Anolis sagrei: one gene and its partners. The protein of the gene in region 1 purifies or fractionates together with the protein of each later gene. This does not show direct contact. Links are inferred from orthologs where the notes say so. Each region holds a gene or a part of one and is shown in the gene's direction. Other genes may lie near its edges. The genes, in order: NAF1, NHP2 and NOP10.

Region 1 (3,750 bases):
ATCCCTGCAACTACAACTCCCAAATGTAAAGATCTATTTTCCCCGGACTCCACCAGTGTTCACATTTGGGCATATTGAGTATTCATGCCAAGTTTGGTCCAGATCCACCATTGCATGAGTCCACAGTGTTCTCTGGATATAGGTGAACTACAACTCCCAAACTCAAGGTCAATGGCCATCAAACCCTTCCAGTGTTTTCCATTGGTCATGGGAGCCAAGTTTGGTTCAAATCCATCACTGGTGGAGTTCGGAATGCTCTTTGATTGTAAGTGAACTATAAATCCTAGCAACTACAACTCCCAAATTACAAAATCAATCCTCGCCCAAGCCCACTAGCATTCACATTTGGGTGTATTGGGTATTTGTGCCCAGTTTGGTCCAGTGAATGAAAATGCATCCTGCATATCAGATATTTACATTATGATTTATAACAGTAGTAAAATGACTGTTATGAAGTAGCAATGAAAACAATATTATGGTTGGGGGTCACCACAACATGGGGGACTGTATTAAGGGGTCACGCCATTAGGAAGGTTGAGAACCACTGTTCTAGGGGCTCCTTCCACAGGGCCATATAACCCAGAATATCCAGGCAGAAGAACTCACAATATCTGTTTTGAACTGGGTTTATCTGTGTTCACACTGCTATATATCCCAGTTCAAGGCAGAAAATGTGGGGTTTTATTTAGCTGTGCAGAAGGAGCCTGGCTTATATAGCTGTGTGAATGGACCCTGAGAGTCTTCTGTGATACTTCAATGGGGAGGAAGGAAAGCAAAGGGAGATGTGATAGAGGCGCATGCGCCCTAAGGGGAAGCCTCCCACCGGCGAGCGCCGTGCCATTCGAAAAGCACTTGGGCCGGACGTGACGTCAGCACGGCGCGCGTGTTGCTGTGGTGAGCGGCTCTCGTGCAGCATGGAGGAGGCGGAGGAGGAGGACAAGAAGAAGGAGCAGGCCTCCGAGGCTGGTGGTACCTTCAAGGTGGCGGAGCAGCTGAGCGAGCTGAGCGTGGCCGCTGAGGGAGCCGCTGGGGAAGGGGAAAAGGCCGCTCCTCAGCCGGAATGCGGCCCCATAGAGGTTCCCTCCGCCCCGCAGGGCCTTCCTGAGAGTGCCGGCGCTTCCGTTGATGGAGGGGGTCTGGAGGCCCTGGAGGGCGCCGCAATGGAAGAGGGGGGGCCTCCGCTCGGAATGGGCCCCTCTTCCCCTCGCTGCGAGGAGACGGAGAGAAAGGTTGGCCTCGGAGATGGAGCGGAGCCGGTTCCTGGCCCCGAAGGAGAGGCCCCAGACCCTAGGAGCCCCTCTCAGCCTCCTCTGGATGTGAATGGCGGGTCGGATCGCGAAGGAAAGGAGGCCACAGTCATGGAAATCAGTGGCAGCTCTTCTTCCGAATCCGAAAGGTGGGTAGTTTCCCCATGAAAGGACTCTTTCCCTTTCCCGGCTGCCAAATAAGCATTGGTTTCATGTAGATCTCAAAACAGATTTATCACTCGTGTCATAGAATCATAGAGACCACAAGGGTCATCCAGGCCAACTCCAAATAGGAATACACGATCCAAGCACTCCTAGCAGATGGCCATCCATCCTCTGTTTCAAAACCCTCAATAATAAACTTTATTTCTAAACTGCACCTCTCCCAAAAGGGACTCGGGGCGGTTTTCAGCACAAAAATAGGCAAACATTCAATACCTTACTAAGTAACAAACATCATCAGGAATAATACAGAATAGTAGCAATAGCCCCGGGTGGTGCAGTGGGTTAAACTGCTGAGCTGTGAACTTGCTGATTGAAAGTTCGCAGGTTTGAATCCGGGGAGTGGCATGAGTTTCCGCTGTTAGCCCCAGCAGTATGGAAACATGAAAATGTGAGTAGATTAATCGGTACCACTCTGGCAAGAAGGTAATGGTGCTCCATGCAGTCATGCCATCTCTCCTACCGTAATCTGAGGTCGCCACGACCATCCCAACACGATTTGCTCTATTTACCGGGTCCTGGAGCCCCCGGTGGCTCAGTGGGTTAAAGTACTGAGCTGCTGAGCTTGTTGATCAAAAGGTCGCAGGTTCGATTCCGGGGAGCGGCGTGAGCTTCCGCTGTGAGCCCTAGCTTCTGCCAACCTAGCAGTTCGAAAACATGCAAATGTGAGTAGATCAATAGGTACCGCTCCGGCGGGAAGGTAACAGCGCTCCATGCAGTCATGCTGGCCACATGACCTTGGAGTGTCTACGGACAACGCTGGCTCTTCAGCTTAGAAATGGAGATGAGCACCACACCCCAGAGTCAGACATGACTGGACTTAAGGTCAGGGGACTACCTTTACCTTTAGGGAAGTGCACTTGGAAAGCACCAGACTCAGGGCCTTTTCTATTGCTACCTCTGCCTTACGGAATTCCTTGCCTCCCTATTTGAGAGCCATGCATGACTTAGGGCATTTTATCCTTGCACTTAAGACCTGGCTTTTTACTAGAGCATTTGACCCATGTTAATTTTAATATTTGTATGTATGTGTTTTATCCTGTATAATTCCTTATGTAAATCGCCTGGAGCATCTCGGATGGAGGGCGATTAATAAGTAATTAAAGATGATGATGGTGATGACCTTGGAGGTGTGTGTGAACAACACTGCTCATCGGCTTAGAAATGGAGATGAGCACCAACCCCCAGAGTCAGACATGTCTGGACTTAATGTCTAGGGGAAACTTTTACCTTTAATAGCAATGAACTTACAATGAAAAAATAAAACATTGAGATGGGGGATAAATCAATTAGACAATAACTTAGGGTGTGTGAACATTAAACATATAATTAAAAACAGACATGAGTTGCATATGAAATGGTTAACACAGGTATTTATTAAAATGTAGCATAGCCATCATATAGTGCAAATTGGATTGTCAGTGTTCCAATGGTTAGTCCTCCTCCTCTCCATATGCTAAAGTGCGTTTTCAAAAGTTTCTTAAAGGAGAGGAGGGTGGAGATTTTTTTCCCAGAGATGGGGAGCAATCATGGAGAAGGTCCCCCCTCTCATTCCCACCAGCCATGCTTGAGACAGGTGGGACTAAGAGCAGGACCTCCTCTGCTGACCACAGTGCACGGTATGGTCTCTATAAGGGGATGCAATTGGACAAAACCATTCAAGACTTTGTAGGTAAGGACCAGCACCTTGTATTTAGCCCAGAAGGGGACCGGCAGTCAGTGGAGCTGTCTCAGTATGGGAGCCGGTAGTCTGTTAGAAATTCTGGAAGTTGGAGTCAAAAATTCCTGGAGGGCCAAAGTTTGCCCATGCCTGCTCCAAAGAATTAACTTCCACCACACTCTAAGGCAGAGTGTTCCACTGTTGACTACCTCGTACGGTCAGGAACTTCTTCCTAATGTTCAGGTGGAATCTCCTTTCCTTCAATTTGCACACATTTCTCAGAGTCCGGGTTTCCAGTGCAGCAGAGAATAAGCTTGCTCCCTCTTCCTTACGACATCCTTTCACATATTTATTCTTGACTATCATGTCTCCTTGCAACCTTCTGCAAGCTAAACATGGCTAGCTCTTTAAGACGCTTCTTGTAGGGCATGATCTCCAGATCTTTAATCTTGCAACACATATGTCAAACCCAAGGCCCACTGGTGGAATCTGGCCCACTATGTCATTTTATGGGCCCTTCAGATGCTGAACTCCAACTCCTATATTTCTCATTTGCCATCATGACTAAAGCTGATGGGAGTTGTTCTACAGTAATATCTGAAAGGCTCACTTTGTTCTATT
Region 2 (3,750 bases), on another chromosome or scaffold:
CCCCCATGAAGGTCTTCCTCCAGGGGCAAACCAAAAATGAGCAACTTGGAAGTCCCTAAACAGACTCAGAAGTGGACTGTGCAGATCAAAAGACAACCTGGCAAAATGGTTGTCAGTCGCACAAGGTGGAAGAATCTGCGACTGCGGAGCAGAACAAAAGACTCTGCAGCTGTATGTGTGCCCACAATGCCCTGCTTCATGCACAGAGAAAGAACTGTTTAAAGCTAGACAATGCTGGGTTGCTGTGAGTTTTTTGGCCTATATGGCCATGTTCCAGATGCATTCTCTCCTGATGTTTCACCCACATTTATGGCAGGCATCCTCAGAGGTTGTGAGGTCTGTTGGAAACTAGGCAAGTGGAGTTTATATACTTATGGCATGTCCAGAGTGGGAGGCTGGCCATTCCAAAGCCAGACTCTCAAGCTGCAAGGAAATTAAAATGTGAATTAAGGTAGCCAATTACAACATTTACACCTGCCTCAAGCAGACAAGAGTTCCACATAAATCCCACTTGCCTAGTTTCGAACAGACCTTACAACCTCTGAGGATGCCTGCCATAGATGTGTGCAAAACGTCAGAATGCTTCTGGAACATGACCATACAGCCTGGAAAACTCACAGCAAACCAGCGATTCTAGCCATGAAAGCCTTTGACAACACAATGTGGTCGCTGTTGCCCTTTTTTGGCCAAAAATTATTTAGCTGGTTGTGTTCCCTCTATTTTATCAGTTTTATAATTTATTTATGCAATTCTTTTGACACATTTTTTTCTGTGTCAGGAGCAACTTGAGGAGCCCTCAGTGGTGCAAAGGGTTGAACCCTTGTGCCGGCAGGGCTGAAGGTTTGAATCCGAGGAGAGCGCGGATGAGCTACCCCTGTCAGCTCCAGCTCCCCATGCAGGGACATGAGAGAAGCCTCCCACAAGGATTGCGAAACATCAAAACATCAGGGCATCATCTTTGCAGACAGCCAATCCACCAGAAGGGGCTTGCAGAAGCGACACGAAATAAATAAGAAGATATGTTTTTCCCTACATGGAGGAAAGGGGGGGGGGGGGGGGGAAGCCTGGTAAATGTGTTGTCGAAGGGTTTCATGGCCGGAATCATGGGTCGCTGTAAGTTTTTCGGGCTGTATGCCCATGTCCCAGAATCATTCACTCCTGACGTTTCGCCTCTCACAACCTCTGAGGATGCCTGCCATAGAGGCAGGCGAAACGTCAGGAGAGAATGCTTCTGCAACATGGCCATACAGCCCGAAAAACTTACAGCAACCCAAGACCTGGTAATTTTATGGAAGCTGTTAAAAAAACGCAGGCACCCTGTCACCCGCCGCCCGCTCGCCTTATTTCCTTCCTCCACCCTCTCCTCAAAAGACAGACCCCCACTCACTACCCGTCCCGGCGGCCATCTTTCCGACGCACGCCCGGTGCGTGCCGGGAAAGGGGCCGCGAGCTATGCCATAGAGCGGTGGGCGGTGCTTCCTCCTCAAAGCCGCGTTCTTATTGGCCGACGCCTTGCTTTCCCTTCCCGGCACGTGTTTGGTCTGAGCCGGAAGCGCGACAGTGCGGGAGAGGCGCGTGGCTCCTTCCCGGCGGAGAAGCAGGCATGGGCCGGGCCAGCAAGCGCCAGGAGGCCGAGGAGGAGCAGGCGGCGCCGGAGACTGAGGCCACCCCGGAGCGCTCCTACCACGAGCTGGTGGAGAACGTCAACGCCATCGCGCGGCCCCTGGCCTCCCGCAAGCTCACGCGGAAGCTCTACAAGTGCATCAAGAAAGGTGCAGGAAGGAAGGGGTTGGGCCTGCATCTACTGTACTCAGGCATGGGCAAACTTGGGTCCTCAGCTTAAGCGGCTGAGGGTGAAAAGGAAAGGGCCTGAGGCTGTTAGGAATTGTAGGAGTTGAAGTCCAAAACATCTGGAGGGCCCAAGTTTGCCCATGCCTGGCCTAGGTCAAACTGCATTAACTCTGCAGTGTAGGTGCACCTTTGGGAAAAGGGGAGGTTTTAGGGGCAGCACTCCTGGAGAGAGGGGATGGGGGTCTTCAGAGGGCTCCCTTTCAAGCCTCCTTGCTGGGTTGGTGGCTTCCCACATACATATTCTCTCTCCCCTTCTACTTGCAGCATCGAAGGTAAAACAGATTCGGCGTGGAGTGAAAGAGGTCCAGAAGTTCATTAACAAAGGCGAGAAGGGGTAAGAATCTTAACATGATTTGCGATAGAAGACTCCCCAAGGACCACCCGGTGCGCTACTCACAGATGCCAGCCCCTCCTTTGCCAGAAAAGAAAGTAACACAGCCATGGGGTTGGAAGAAACCCCAAGGGCCATCTAGTCCATGCAGAAACATCCAAACAAAGCACTTGTCGGATGGCCATCCAGCCTCTGCTTAAAAAGATTCCACCCCTCTGAGGGAAAAAGACTCCGCCCCTCTGACGGAGCAAATTCCATTTCACTAAGCATAAACTATTTCTTGTCCCAGGTGTAATGTCATGTTTGCAGTTAGCTGCCTTTAATTCTCATACCAGGGGAAAGGCAGTATAAAAATGAAGTAATTAAATTAATATTGGAATGATCACAGGTGCCTCGCGCTTAATTCCTTTAGAGCATTTGTCTTTTTTAGTGCTTCTTAAGCTATCTAATATGGGGGACAACTGCCCCCCTGCTCCCCAGAAAGCCAGAGATAAGCACACTTGTGCTCATTAACTATAACTACAGTATTTCCTTCTTGGAAACAACATGCACCAGCGGCCAGTAGATTACTGACCTGCACCAGCCCACAAACCACCATTTTGGGTATCAGTAGGTATTCTGCCTATGCAGGAATCTGCGATATTGTTCCTTGAATGATTTGCTTCCCTCAGAGTTTCCTGTGTCAAGTTTGACACAGTATGGCTGACTTCAGTTCAGTCATCCGCTGCAGATCTTGGAACTAAGTCCTCTCTTTGTAGTGTTCCTGATTGTTATGAGTGAATTACAGGGTGTTTCAAAATGATGGACACAGTTTGAAAGCAGTGTATTTCACCATGGTAACATCTTATAGTTACACAAAAAGTTACAAATGGTTTAATGAGTTATCATTTTTACTATTTTGAGCCAGAAACAAACCTAAAAATTAACTCCTCAAATGGAAAATATCTCATTAGTCCTTATGTGGGTCACCATCTTGCAAATGACTGAGGCTAAAGGCTGTTTGTAATTCTTTGAAGTTCTATGCCTCATCCTTCCAAAGGGTAAGTTTCATTTATGAGTGGTTTGTGGTTGCAGAGAGATAGCCATTTCAGATCACGTCCTTCTTTTAGAAACACCTTGTATTTCTGTGTCATGTGGGAAACTAAAATGTGCCCATGTGTCAAAAATGCAAACTTTAGGAGGCCACAATGATGATGAAGCCATGATGAAGCCAGAAGTCATATAACAGCAGCATTGTTTTCATTTGGATCTGCATAATGTTAACCTCAGTGCCTCACACTGACCTATTTGCCTTTTTTATTTCTCACATTCTGTCTGTGTGAGAGTACGAGTCTCTTAAGTCGAATCCAATTTATGTGAATACTGACCACACTACAAATATTTAAAAATTAGGTAGCAGAGAATTGGTTTGTAAAGCAGCTGCAGAGAGCAGAATTTACTCAGAAATTCTGCTGAGATTGAGGAGGCTTACAACTATCAACAGTATTGCAACTTTATATTATGAAGAGGGATTAACAGTAGCTTTGTTGTTCTCCCACTTCATTAAGGAGCAATGTCTAGTCCTTTTT
Region 3 (3,750 bases), on another chromosome or scaffold:
GGTGGTTGTGTTGATGTGAGTACTGTGCATCATTGGGCAAGTAAGTTCAAAGATGTTGAGGTGGGAACATCTGACTTGCGTGACAAAGAGTTGGACGTCCTGTGACAGCAACCACCGAGTTTCACAAGCAAAAGGTTGAGATTGATTCAGGACGATCGCCGTATCACTCAGAGAGAAATTTCAAGCATAATCGCCATTTCACTAGACCGTGTGGATCACATTATTGCTTTGCTTGGCTATCGGAAGATCTGTGCATGATGGGTACCGGGATGAGAGAAGTGTGAGATGCTGGTTGCGGAAACGAGTGTCGACTTCTTCCGTGACAGTGTCAGAAAACTTGTCCATCGTTGGCAGAAATGTATCCAATGGTCTGGTGATTCTGTGGAAAAGTGAATAGTGGTAGTTAAAGAGCACATTCTAAGGATTATTTATGCGTTTCATAGAATGATAGAATCAAAGAGTTGGAAGAGACCTCATGGGCCATCCAGTCCAACCCCTGCCAAGAAGCAGGAATATTGCATTCAAATCACCCCTGACAGATGGCCATCCAGCCTCTGTTTAAAAGCTTCCAAAGAAGGAGCCTCCACCACACTCCGGGGCAGAGAGTTCCACTGCTGAACGGCTCTCACAGTCAGGAAGTTCTTCCTCATGTTCAGATGGAATCTCCTCTCTTGTAGTTTGAAGCCATTGTTTCTTGTCCTAGTCTCCAGGGCAGCAGAAAACAAGCTTGCTCCCTCCTCCCTGTGGCTTCCTCTCACATATTTATACATGGCTATCATATCTCCTCTCAGCCTTCTCTTCTTCAGGCTAAACATGCCCAGCTCCTTAAGCCGCTCCTCATAGGAGCCAAGCAACGAAGGTGGAGGCATTACTTTTCATTCAACCCTCCTACATTATTTCCAAAACAATTGGAAAACTTATTTAAAAACTGTTGAAAGGATTAGATGATGGGAGAATAAAAGGAATGCTAGATGAAAGACAGAAAGATGATCCTTTCAACAGGTAGAGAAACAGATTCCTTTTGCACGAGTGCATGTTTACAGTAGGAAAACTACAAATCCCAGCAGGCATTGGGCAAGAAAGGCGAAAGACTACAGCTCCCAGAATGCTCAGGGAAGTTTTCTTTTGTGCCTGTTCATTGGAGGATGGGAGGAAGAGGTGGAGTTTGTTTGCACGTGTTTTGCAGGAAGAGAAGGGAAAGGGAAATCGGTTTGGAATCCGAATCCTGTTGATAAGAATCGTTTGCTCCGGATTTTGCAGCTATGTTCCTGCAATTCTACTTGGATGAGCGAGGGGACAGGGTTTATACCCTCAAGGTAAGGGTTTTACATCCCTGGGGGTGTGTGAATGTTTGATTCTGGGTGCATCTGCACTGTGGAATTAATGCAGTTTGATACCACTTTAACTGCTATGGCTCAATGCTAGGAGTTGGAGTTGTTAGACTTCTATGCCAAAGAGTGCTGTTGTCTCACTAAACTAAGACTCCCAAGCATGGGCAAACTTGGGCCCTCCAGGTGTTTTGGACTTCAACTCCCACAATTCCTAGCAGCCGATAGGCTGCTAGGAATTGTGGGAGTTGAAGTCCAAAACACCTGGAGGGCCCAAGTTTGCCTATGCCAGTTCTATATCATTATACCACAGTCAGCCCTCCATATCCACAAATTTTGCATCCAAGGATTCAGCCTTTCACAGCTTGAAAATATTGCAAAATATCCAGAAAACAAAGCTTATTATTTGCCATTTTGCATATGGTAATTTCCAGTATAATTTAACCTTGAGTCACACCAACACAGCTGTATAAAATCCATATTGAACTGGATTATATGGCAGCGTGGACTCTGATAACCCCGTTTAAAGCCAATATTGTGTATCATCTGCCTTGATATTCTGGGTTATATAGCTGTGTGGAAGGACACCTAGAGATTTTAATTAAATCAGTAAATTATCAAATCCACAAATGTGGAAGGACAACTTGGAGTAAATCTTAAAGGCAAACGAAATCCATAGCTATAGGGAAACCATCAGAATGCCTCATTGTTGGGACTGTCTTCTATGGCAAATTCTCTCATGGCTAAACATTCCTGACTGTGAGAGCCGTTCAGCAGTGGAACTCTCTGCCCCGGAGCATGTTGGAGGCTCCTTTTTTGGAAGCTTTTAAAGAGAGGCTGGATGGCCATCTGTCAGGGGTGATTTTAATGCAATATTCCTGCTTCTTGGCAGGGGGTTGGACTGGATGGCCCATGAGGTCTCTTCCAACTCTTTGATTCTATGATTCTGTGATTTACTTTACTTCTAGGATCCTCCAAGCCAATGAGTGGACAGGTTTAAACGAGTCCATTGAGTCTGTAGCAATGGCAGGCTTACACCAATTCAGCGCCGTAATTGAATAGTTCCGATGTTTCAAAGATCAGATAATTCCCAGGTTCATCTATAAAAACACAATGGCTTGCCTTGTGTAGTACGTCCTGGGTTCCAAGTTTGCATGAAGTCTGTAAATAAATAGTTCAGATGGTTCAGCTGTCAGTTAAGGTAAAAGTTTTCCCCTGACATTAAATCCAGTTGTGTCCAACTCTGAGGGTTGGTGCTCATCTCAATTTCTAAGCCGAAGAGCCGGCATTGTCCATAGACATAGGGGTGTGGAGATGAGCACCACACCCCAAGGTCATGTGGCCGGAATGACTGCATGGAGTGCTGTTACCTTCCCGCAGAAGTGGTACCTATTTATTTATTTATATTTATCGTGTCAGGAATGAACCAAAACAGTTGTATTGCATTAAAAACAAACAAACAAAACACAAAGTTTGCAAGCTTGGTAGTTGTTTAAATGTCCTTTGATCAGTAGCTGACCTCTGGTGTTGCTGGAGGAAGGTCCTCCATTGTGCATGTGGCAGGGCTCAGGTTGCATTGCAGTAGGTGGTCTGTGGTTTGCTCTTCTACACACTCGCATGTGGTGGAGTCCACTTTGTGGCCCCATTTCTTAAGGTTGGCTCTGCATCTCATGGTGCCAGAGCGCAGTCTGATCAGCACCTTCCAAGTCGCCCAGTTTTCTGTGTGCCCAGGGGGGAGTCTCTCATTTGGTACCAGACATTGATTGAGGCTCTGGGTTTGAGCCTGCCGCTTTTGGACTCTCGCTTGCTGAGGTGTTCCAGCAAGTGTTTCTGCAGATCTTAGAAAACTATTTCTTTATTTAAGTCATTGGCATGCTGGCTGATACCCAAACAGGGGGTGGACCGGAGATGTCACTGCCTTAGTCCTTTCACTATTGGTTGCTACTCCCCGACGGATGTCAGGTGGTGCAATACCGGCTACACAGTGTAATTTCTCCAGTGGTGTAAGGAGCAGACACCCCATGATAATGAGCATGTCTCATTAAGAGCCGCATCCAATGGTGAGATGTGTTCCACACTGGGCATGCATACTCAGCAACAGAATAGCAAAGCACAAGGGCAGATGTCTTCACTGTATCTAGTTGTGATACCCAGGTACCAATTGATCTACTCACATTTGCATGTTTTCAACTGCTAGATAGGCAGAAGCTAGGGCTAACAGCAGGAGCTCACCCTGCTCAAACCGGCGTCCTTTTAATCAGCAAGTTCAGCAGCTCAACGGTTTAACCCACTGTGCCAGCTGTCGGTTATGCACCAATAAAAACACAATAAAGTTACTATCACACTTTATTGCTGAAATAGAGGGAAATTGATGCACAGAGTACAATGATTATAACAAAGAGCTTTGCAATATACACAGTGC

What was found.
Region 2: the proteins of NAF1 (region 1) and NHP2 purify together in Homo sapiens (affinity purification with western blotting; 3 studies listed by BioGRID and IntAct, with this or other methods). This does not show direct contact. The link is inferred for Anolis sagrei from reciprocal best matches to the Homo sapiens genes NAF1 and NHP2.
Region 3: the proteins of NAF1 (region 1) and NOP10 purify together in Homo sapiens (co-immunoprecipitation; 6 studies listed by BioGRID and IntAct, with this or other methods). This does not show direct contact. The link is inferred for Anolis sagrei from reciprocal best matches to the Homo sapiens genes NAF1 and NOP10.

Annotation. Positions count from the first base shown.
Region 1 is NC_090025.1:55,967,535-55,971,284, reverse strand, and holds the start of NAF1 (H/ACA ribonucleoprotein complex non-core subunit NAF1), read left to right. Parts: upstream 1-848; 5' UTR 849-914; coding exon 915-1,396; intron 1,397-3,750. UniProt on the Homo sapiens protein: RNA-binding protein required for the maturation of box H/ACA snoRNPs complex and ribosome biogenesis.
Region 2 is NC_090022.1:76,372,494-76,376,243, forward strand, and holds the start of NHP2 (H/ACA ribonucleoprotein complex subunit 2), read left to right. Parts: upstream 1-1,519; 5' UTR 1,520-1,603; coding exon 1,604-1,772; intron 1,773-2,115; coding exon 2,116-2,185; intron 2,186-3,750. Other genes in the region: BRD8 (bromodomain-containing protein 8), read right to left, coding at 1,388-1,406. UniProt on the Homo sapiens protein: Required for ribosome biogenesis and telomere maintenance. Part of the H/ACA small nucleolar ribonucleoprotein (H/ACA snoRNP) complex, which catalyzes pseudouridylation of rRNA.
Region 3 is NC_090026.1:13,101,648-13,105,397, reverse strand, and holds the start of NOP10 (H/ACA ribonucleoprotein complex subunit 3), read left to right. Parts: upstream 1-1,157; 5' UTR 1,158-1,262; coding exon 1,263-1,316; intron 1,317-3,750. UniProt on the Homo sapiens protein: Required for ribosome biogenesis and telomere maintenance. Part of the H/ACA small nucleolar ribonucleoprotein (H/ACA snoRNP) complex, which catalyzes pseudouridylation of rRNA.